2 linked regions of the Ovis aries genome follow. The protein of the gene in region 2 interacts with the protein of the main gene of each other region in a biochemical or structural test. Links are inferred from orthologs where the notes say so. Each region holds a gene or a part of one and is shown on either strand. Other genes may lie near its edges.

Region 1 (4,415 bases), on a different chromosome or scaffold from region 2:
CCTGCCTGGGAAATCCCATAGAGAGAGGAGCCTGGCAGTTCATGGGGTCGCAAAAGAGCTGGACATGACCTAGCAACTGAACAATATCAACAATCATATTAGTAGAATAAAGAAGAAAAAGCACACAATCATCCTAATAGATGCAGAAAATAATAGCTGATAAAATTCAACATTCATTCATATAGAAACTCTTTTAACAGACTTGGCATAAAAGGAAACTTCCTTTACTAAATGACATCTACAAAAACCACAGCACACAGAACACTTAAGGATGAAAAGTTAAAAGCAGTTACTTTAAAATTCAAAGTGATCCAATGTAACTGAATCAAAACAATTCCAATCAAAATCCTAACAGGCTTGGTGGGCATGATTGTGTGTGATTTGACAAGATGATTCTAAAATGTATATGGAAAATGTAAACACAAAACAGCAAAGACATTCCTGGAGGACTTGTCATACCAGGTCCCAAGACTTAATATACAGCTAGAGTAATGAATACAGTGTGATAATAATAATAAAGTTGTGGTAATAGTACAGAAATGGACAAACAAGGCCAATGGAATAGAACAGACAACTAAGGAATAGAAAAGGGTATATATATGGATACTTGGCATGCTGCAGAAATGGAACTTCAGGGAAAAGCACTTTTCAATGAAAGGTGCCAGGACAGCCCATTATACATACATGAACAAAATAAAAATAAAATTAGACACTTATTTCACAGTATCCACAAAAATCAATTCTTGAGGGTTAAGATCATAAGAAAGGAACATTATAAAAGTTTTAGACAACACAGGAGTTTGTCTTTAGGACCCAAAGGTAGGAAAGGACTTCTTTAAAAGATATGAAAAAAACAAACCATACAATACACTGATAAATCGACTTTGTTAAAATTAAGAACTTTGCTCACCAAAAACAGAAAGCACGGGAGTCAGAAACAGAAGACAAGCTCAAACTAGAAGATACTTGAAACACATTTAAACCACAAAAGATCCATAATGAGATTAAAAAAAAAAAAAAAACTCCTACAAACCAGTAAGAGGAAGACAACTGGAAGAACGAACATGGAGAATTTTATGAAGACAATGCACAAGTGATTAATAAATTAAGATAAGAAACGTTCAATCTCGCACCAGGCAAATAAGTGTTAAACCACAGTGACTAATGTCTTATCCATCACCAGACAGGCATACATTCTTAAAAATGGTTGAGGCTGAAACTTGCATCAACTGCTGGTAGAGTATAAGCCCTTCTAATTACTTCAGATGTTTATTTGATAACATTAGCAAATCTGATATCCCCACAAAACCACTCTTAGGTATATGCCTTACAGAAATTTTCACATTTACCTCAGGAAGTACGTTTATAAACTTCCTAAAGTAAAAGTAGCATGCTGTAATAGCAAAAATCTGGCAACAGTTTCAACTCAAGAATATCTACATAAAGGCATTTATAAACATACCATGGAATTCAAAGCAGCAATGAAGTAGAGCTACTCATGGCAATATGGATGCATCTCTTAGACGTAACATTATGTGTAAGAATCAACTCACAAAATATATATCTGGATCCCATTTATATAGAATCTAAAAACTAGCAAATCCGTGCATTGCATTAATGAGATAATACTAAAAACTACAAAGAAGAACAAGGGAATGATAACACAATATTCAGGGCAGTGGTTATCTTCCGGGAGGGAAGAAAAGAATTCAATGTAGGCTTTGAGAAAATGATAATGTTCTATTTCTTAACTAGGTGGTGGATGGTCATTGTACTTTTGTTCTTCAAACTTATAGTTGTGTGTTACTATCTTAATAAAAAAAAAGGCTTGTTTGTGCATTGAAGTCAGTTGCCTCTATGAAGGGGGCAGGGGTTAACCATGGATATGTATTACCTACCCAAGTAATTTATAAATAGAAAAGTTTGTGGAATAAGAAAATCTCAAACATAACCATCTGTGCCAAGTGCCAGACACAGTATAAACGCTTCACGTGCAGTCTCATTTCATCCTTGTCAGAATCTTATGAAGAAAGCATGATCCTATTTTACAGATGAGGAACCTGAGGCTGAGAGGGTAGAAGGCAACAGAATTAGTAATGGAGACAGGGAGTGACCATACAAAAGCAGTTAGGAATTCTGACACCCTCGGTTCAAATATTCAAGAAATATGAGTGAACAATAAAATTATCATCCAGGTCCCTTCTCTGCAATTCTCAAATCGAACACACTCTCAAAACCAACTCTTTTAAGTTTGAAAACCTGATCTAACCTAAGGTGAGGTTATTTAGGGTTGTTGCTTACCCCCTATATATATGTGTACATACGCATATATTTAGCTGTGAAAAAAGTATCTGATTACAAGACACTGCTCAAGACCCTGCTGAAGATATGACAGGACCTACAATGCATGTACATTACCTTTGGAAAACTCGAGAAATTCGGCATTCTGAACACATGTAGCCTCAGGGCTCTGAAATAAGGAGCTGCGCACTTGTACAAGGTAATAAGTTCTGTACCCAAAATAGTAGGGAAGCAGAGGCTGTCAACACCGAAAGCATGGTCAGTGGAAGGCCGTACTTATTCAGATTAGTCAATTTTGTATTTCGCTTTTACAACTAATATTCTGATTTAAAGTATTTCCTCACCTAATATTACGACTTTAAAACGTCTGTCTCCGTGTAAGGGCCTAGCTTCCAGCCTGCCCCTCTCGGGGCCTCAGTTTCCCCACCAGGAACTGAGAAGCCCCAGGCCCCCGGACCCCGGCGACACACTGTGCCACACCACGGGACCGACCCCGGGGCCTGACCGCACCTGCTGCCCGCCCCTCGCCTTTCGAGGCGGCCGTTTTCTTTTCCCTTCAGCCTCCCGCCGGGACGCCCAGATTACCCACCACAGCGCCCAAGCGCAGTCCACACAGACGACGACGAAGGCAGAAAGGAGGGTTCGGCCCCTCCTTCTAGGCGGGGCGAACGCGGATGTGGAGCTCCCATTGGTTGCCATCGCAGATCTAGCCCTCCCATAGGGTGACGCACTTCCGTTCTGCAGCCCGCGCTGTTGCCATGGTGCCGCGGGATCTGTCAATTAGGTCCGGAGTTAGAGCATCCCAAGCGACTCTCTGTACCTTATGGGAAAGGGCTTCCTCTTCTCGTCCTCCGCCTTCCACCTCACAGTGGCACCCCGCGGCCCAAGAAGAGGAAGGAAAAGAGTGCTGTGTGCCCTACGTAGTAGGTTCGATTCCACGGGCACAGCTTAATGCTCTGTCCTGGGGCAGTTTCCCATCTTTAGAACAGATAGTGTTTGCCCCATGGTCAAGAACGAGGCCTCTGTTGTCAAATAGCCTAAACTAGAATCCTGGCTTTGCCACGTACTGGTTGCCGAATCTTGTGCAAGTCACTGAGCTGCACTGAGCCTCAGTTTCTTATTCTGTCAAATGGGGATAATAATAGTACCAATGAAACTGTGTTTGTGAGGTTTAAAAGCGATAATGGCGCACTGCTACTCCTAAGTCACTTCAGTCGTGTCCGACTCTGTGCGACCCCATAGACGGCAGCCCACCAGGCACCCCAGTCCCTGGAATTCTCCAGGCAGGAACACTGGAGTGGGTTGCCATTTCCCTCTCCAGTGCATGAAAGTGAAAGTGAAGTCGCTCAGTCGTGTCCGACTCTTCGCGACCCCATGGACTGCAGCCTACCAGGCTCCTCCGCCCATGGGATTTCCCAGGCAAGAGTACTGGAGTGGGGTGCCATTGCCTTCTCCGATAATGACGCACGGAAGTGATTAAATGTTAACTACTGTCTTACCTGGGGATTGTTGTGAGAAGTAAATGACGTTATTAACAGAGGTGAAAGGACTGTTTTGCATCTCCTGGACACTCATATTTACAAATATTTGTATTCCTGTCCCTGGTCTCAGTGCTAGCCGTGCAGTCTAGTAGGGGCAACAGGTAACTAATGACAGACCAGTAGAAAGTACAAGTGTCTATCCCTGTGATGATAGCTTCAAGTCACTTCTTGAGGGGTTTCCACTCCTGTGATCTTGGACAACTTCTCAGTTTCTCTGGACTTCAGTTCCCTCATCTACAAGGGGAGGAAAGCAGTAAAGTATAGTGGTTAAAAGCTTGAGCTCCAGAGCTGGGCCATCTGGATTTGAAACCTGCTTAAAACCTCTTGAGACCCAGGGCAAAGTACCTGGGTACTTTGCTCTCCACCTCAGTTTGCTCCTTCTATAAAGCAGGATAATAATAGCACTTTGTTGATAGGGTTGTTGTGAAGACTGAATGAGTTAATAATGCAAACCACTTACAAGAGTGTCTGGCACAGAGTAAACCCTCAGTAAATGTGAATTTTCATTACTAATAAAGCATACCTTATAAATTGCCTTAGGGGCAGTCGAATAAGAAAAGAACAACCCTCATG
Region 2 (3,407 bases):
AGACCAAAATGCCAATAGACACCATCATGTATCCACTGTAATAAAGAGCCCTGGGCCAAGTACACTGGCCAAAGGTGGCTGTTTTCCAGATCTATCAAGTCATCCCATGTAACTAAAGAGCATCTTAAGTAGTCATTTTTAATACCATCTCCTCACTGCAACTTCTCCCCGACCCCCCACCCCCGTCTTTTCACCTTCCCTACACTGAAGTCCCACTAAAGGTAATTTCAGGCAAGCCTCACTCAATCACTCCAATGGGGCTGGGTGTCCCACTGTAGCCTTCAACTCACTGTACTATAATTTCTGGTTTATTTACTGTCCAGCTGTGAAGAGTAGGACCTTTATCTTGCTCAGCATGTGTGTATTAGTTGCTCAGTCATGTCCAACTCTTTTCGATCCCACGGACTGTAGCTCTCCAAGCTCCTCTGTCCACGGAACTCTCCAGGTAAGAATACTGAAGTGGGTTGCCAGTCCCTTCTCCAGGGGATCTTCCCAGCCCAGGGATGGAACCTGGGTCTCCTGCATTGCAGGCAGATTCTTTAACCTGAGTCACCTGGGAAGCCCTTTAATTCCCAAATACCCACAACAGTGCATCACACAAAGATGCTTAACAAATGTTTATTATGTGTACCAGGTTATACCTCTAATTTATTGCATCCCCCCCACCAGATATTATAATAACTAAGCAGAGTTACATGTCAGTCTTTTTTCTTTATACAATAGACAAAAACTGTTAGAAAGCTAGATACCATTTAGCTATTTTTTCCCCTGGTACCAGATCATTATACTGCTGAGTTCCTTCAAACTATTTAAATACATCATTTGGTGCTGCATAATTTGTTCAAGACCACAGAAAAAAATGTAAAGTTTTTTCAATTCATTTTACAAAACCAGCAAAAATCTACAACAAAATCCTACAGGAAAAAGTAGACGAATTTCATTTATAAACATCAATTTAACAGTATATTAAACGTAGCAAAACCGAGCAAGATACAAAAACTAAATCCTAGTTACACGAACACAAATGCTACAGAAATAAAGACCCTCTCCCCACCGAGTCTACTTATGACGCAGACGGTAGCTTTTATATCGTCCCACCCCCACCCCTAGCTGGCCCTCACCAGAGGTGAGTGCTGGCCCTAGCCCTCACACTGGCCCCAGCTCTGGCCCTATCAGCCTCATCTGCCAGGGCCTCACGGTACTGCACTGGCCAGTGTTGGGGTTCTTTCTTATGGAGCTTGGCCACGAACCCCAGGACTTTCATCTTGCTGGTTTCCAAGTTGCTTCGGGGACCCCAAGAGAATTCACATTCCGGTGGGTTGGTGTGAGGCACACGCCTGTAATTGAGGTATCTCAGCTGCACGAAATCTTCCATAATAAGCCTCTTCGGGTACCCAAAGAGGAAGTGATACTTTGAGGGACGCACCCCCAACCGACGCAGCATCGCCCAGACCTGTGCCTCTCTGGCGCTATTACCTTTCATGTAGATAAGGCCCAAGATCATCATTAAGAGACCCAACCTGGGGCCATCTCCTCCCAGAGCCTCCTCCTCATGCTCAATAGGTTTTAGCTTGTTGATCAGGATGTAAGTGTGGTGCTTGCGGTCAAGCTGTTTCAGCTCGAAACCGAAGACGTACCGCAGATGCTCTGCGGCCCTTGCGATGATCTCAGGGAATAGATCCTTTAAGTCTCCGATAACGTATTTCACCATCTCGGAGCGAGTGATGGGGCTCTTCTTCCTGTCCTTCAACAGCAGAAATTGCACCAACTCGGCTACCGTCCGATCCAGACGGCGGCAGGCTCTACGCCGGGCCAAGGTTTTGGCTGCCAAAGCCCTCGCGCCTTTCGGGGTGAGAGAGGGTTCCGAAGCCCCCTCCTCCCTTACAGCGCCAAGGTCCTCCTCGGGGCTCTCCTGCAGGAGGGGGCTCGGGGCCATCTCCTGCGAGGCGGTCAGAGGCTGGGTCTCACCGTCATGGCTGCCATCCATCTCCCTCTCCGCCTGAGGGATGGGGAGAGCCCCGCTCTCGGGTTTCTGCAACATGTTTTCGGGCAGGCAGGTGCAGAGCGCGTACGCGGGCCGCGGGGTGTGCGAGCCGCTGCACAAACCCCGGTGGAGGGGTTGGACAGCGGCTGGGGCGGCTGCAGGAGGACTAGGAGAGATGACACGGGGTTTTGCGGCTGCTGGGCTGCACCGCAGAAGGCTCGGGACGGTTGCCGCGACGCGGCCACCGCGCAGCCTCAGTGCGCACTCGCTGGCCGACTTGCCAGACTTCTTCCGGCCAACTCAGCCAAGATGGCGGCCCCGAGGCCGCGCGAAGCCCGTCCTCTTCCGGCTCCCGCTGGGGTAGGAGTGCTCACAGGCTTCTCAGGATGCCCAGGCTGTGGAGGAGTCAGGGCTGACTTTTAGTCTGACAGGCTGGAGGCGGGAGCAACCAGGCTATCCTAAGGTTTCAGTGTAGAAGGATGAAGTAGGGATGGAGTTCTAGCCACGTCCCTTCAGCAGGTGCTTATTTCTAAGTGCGCGTGTCTAAGATTTTGAGTGATTCACTGTGTCACAAGTGCGGTCTGCATGGAGGTAAAGCCTGGGAGATAAAAGGCTGTGCGGGACAGTTCGTGACAGACTTTGAACACGATGCTCGGGAGATTGAAATCTGTTTAAACAAGGGAGTGTCCGGACCGGATCTGTATCATCTAGTCTCTCTGGTGGCCCTGTGGAGTATGGATTGGAGAAGGGCTGACCAAAAGCTGGGAATCTAGCTTGGAGTATTGGCATTATTATAGTGCAGAATAGGAACTGAGATGTGCCCTGCCTTGTTCATTGGCATTATCCCCAGTGCCCAGAACAGTGCCCAGCACATAGAGGCACTCCATAAGTATTGTAAAATGGATGACGAGAGGGTAAGGATAGCAGATTCTACAGGAGTCAAAGAAGATGATAAAAGAGATGTCAAGGTACAGCTGGCAGAAATAGTAACTAACTGGAGGAAAGGGGAGGGGTTTTGTTTCTAACCTAATCAAACTTAATTACTCCCATTATTTATTTCTTTTTACCTGCTCTGCTCTGACCTTTACCAGTCTGTCTCCCAACCCCCTTTCTCTCCAGCTCCTCCTCCCTCTCTTCCTCTACCTCTTCCTCCTCTCTCCTCCTCTTTCCTCCCCTGCTGTCTCTCCCTCTTCTCTCATTTCCTCCCCTTTCCTCCTCTGGCTCCACTTCTCTCTCTCCTTTCAAGCCTTCCTTAGTTATTTACTGCCATTTCAGAATCACCATCAGTTCAGTTCAGTCGCTCAGTCGTGTCTGACTCTTTGCGACCCCATGAACTGCAGCACGCCAGGCCTCCCTGTCCATCACCATCTCCCGGAGTTCACTCAAACTCACGTCCATCAAGTCGGTGATGCCATCCAGCCAT

The links. The genes of interacting proteins can lie anywhere in the genome.
Region 1: the proteins of MAGEF1 (region 2) and NSMCE1 form a complex in vitro, tested with the Homo sapiens proteins (2 studies listed by BioGRID). The link is inferred for Ovis aries from reciprocal best matches to the Homo sapiens genes MAGEF1 and NSMCE1.

Annotation. Positions count from the first base shown.
Region 1 is NC_056077.1:25,353,800-25,358,214, forward strand, and holds the start of NSMCE1 (non-structural maintenance of chromosomes element 1 homolog), read right to left. Parts: upstream 2,938-4,415; 5' UTR 2,812-2,937; intron 2,776-2,811; exon of another isoform or gene 2,646-2,775; intron 1-2,645. UniProt on the Homo sapiens protein: RING-type zinc finger-containing E3 ubiquitin ligase that assembles with melanoma antigen protein (MAGE) to catalyze the direct transfer of ubiquitin from E2 ubiquitin-conjugating enzyme to a specific substrate.
Region 2 is NC_056054.1:203,287,793-203,291,199, reverse strand, and holds MAGEF1 (melanoma-associated antigen F1), read right to left. Parts: upstream 2,210-3,407; 5' UTR 2,042-2,209; coding exon 1,118-2,041; 3' UTR 605-1,117; downstream 1-604. UniProt on the Homo sapiens protein: Enhances ubiquitin ligase activity of RING-type zinc finger-containing E3 ubiquitin ligases. Proposed to act through recruitment and/or stabilization of the E2 ubiquitin-conjugating enzyme at the E3:substrate complex.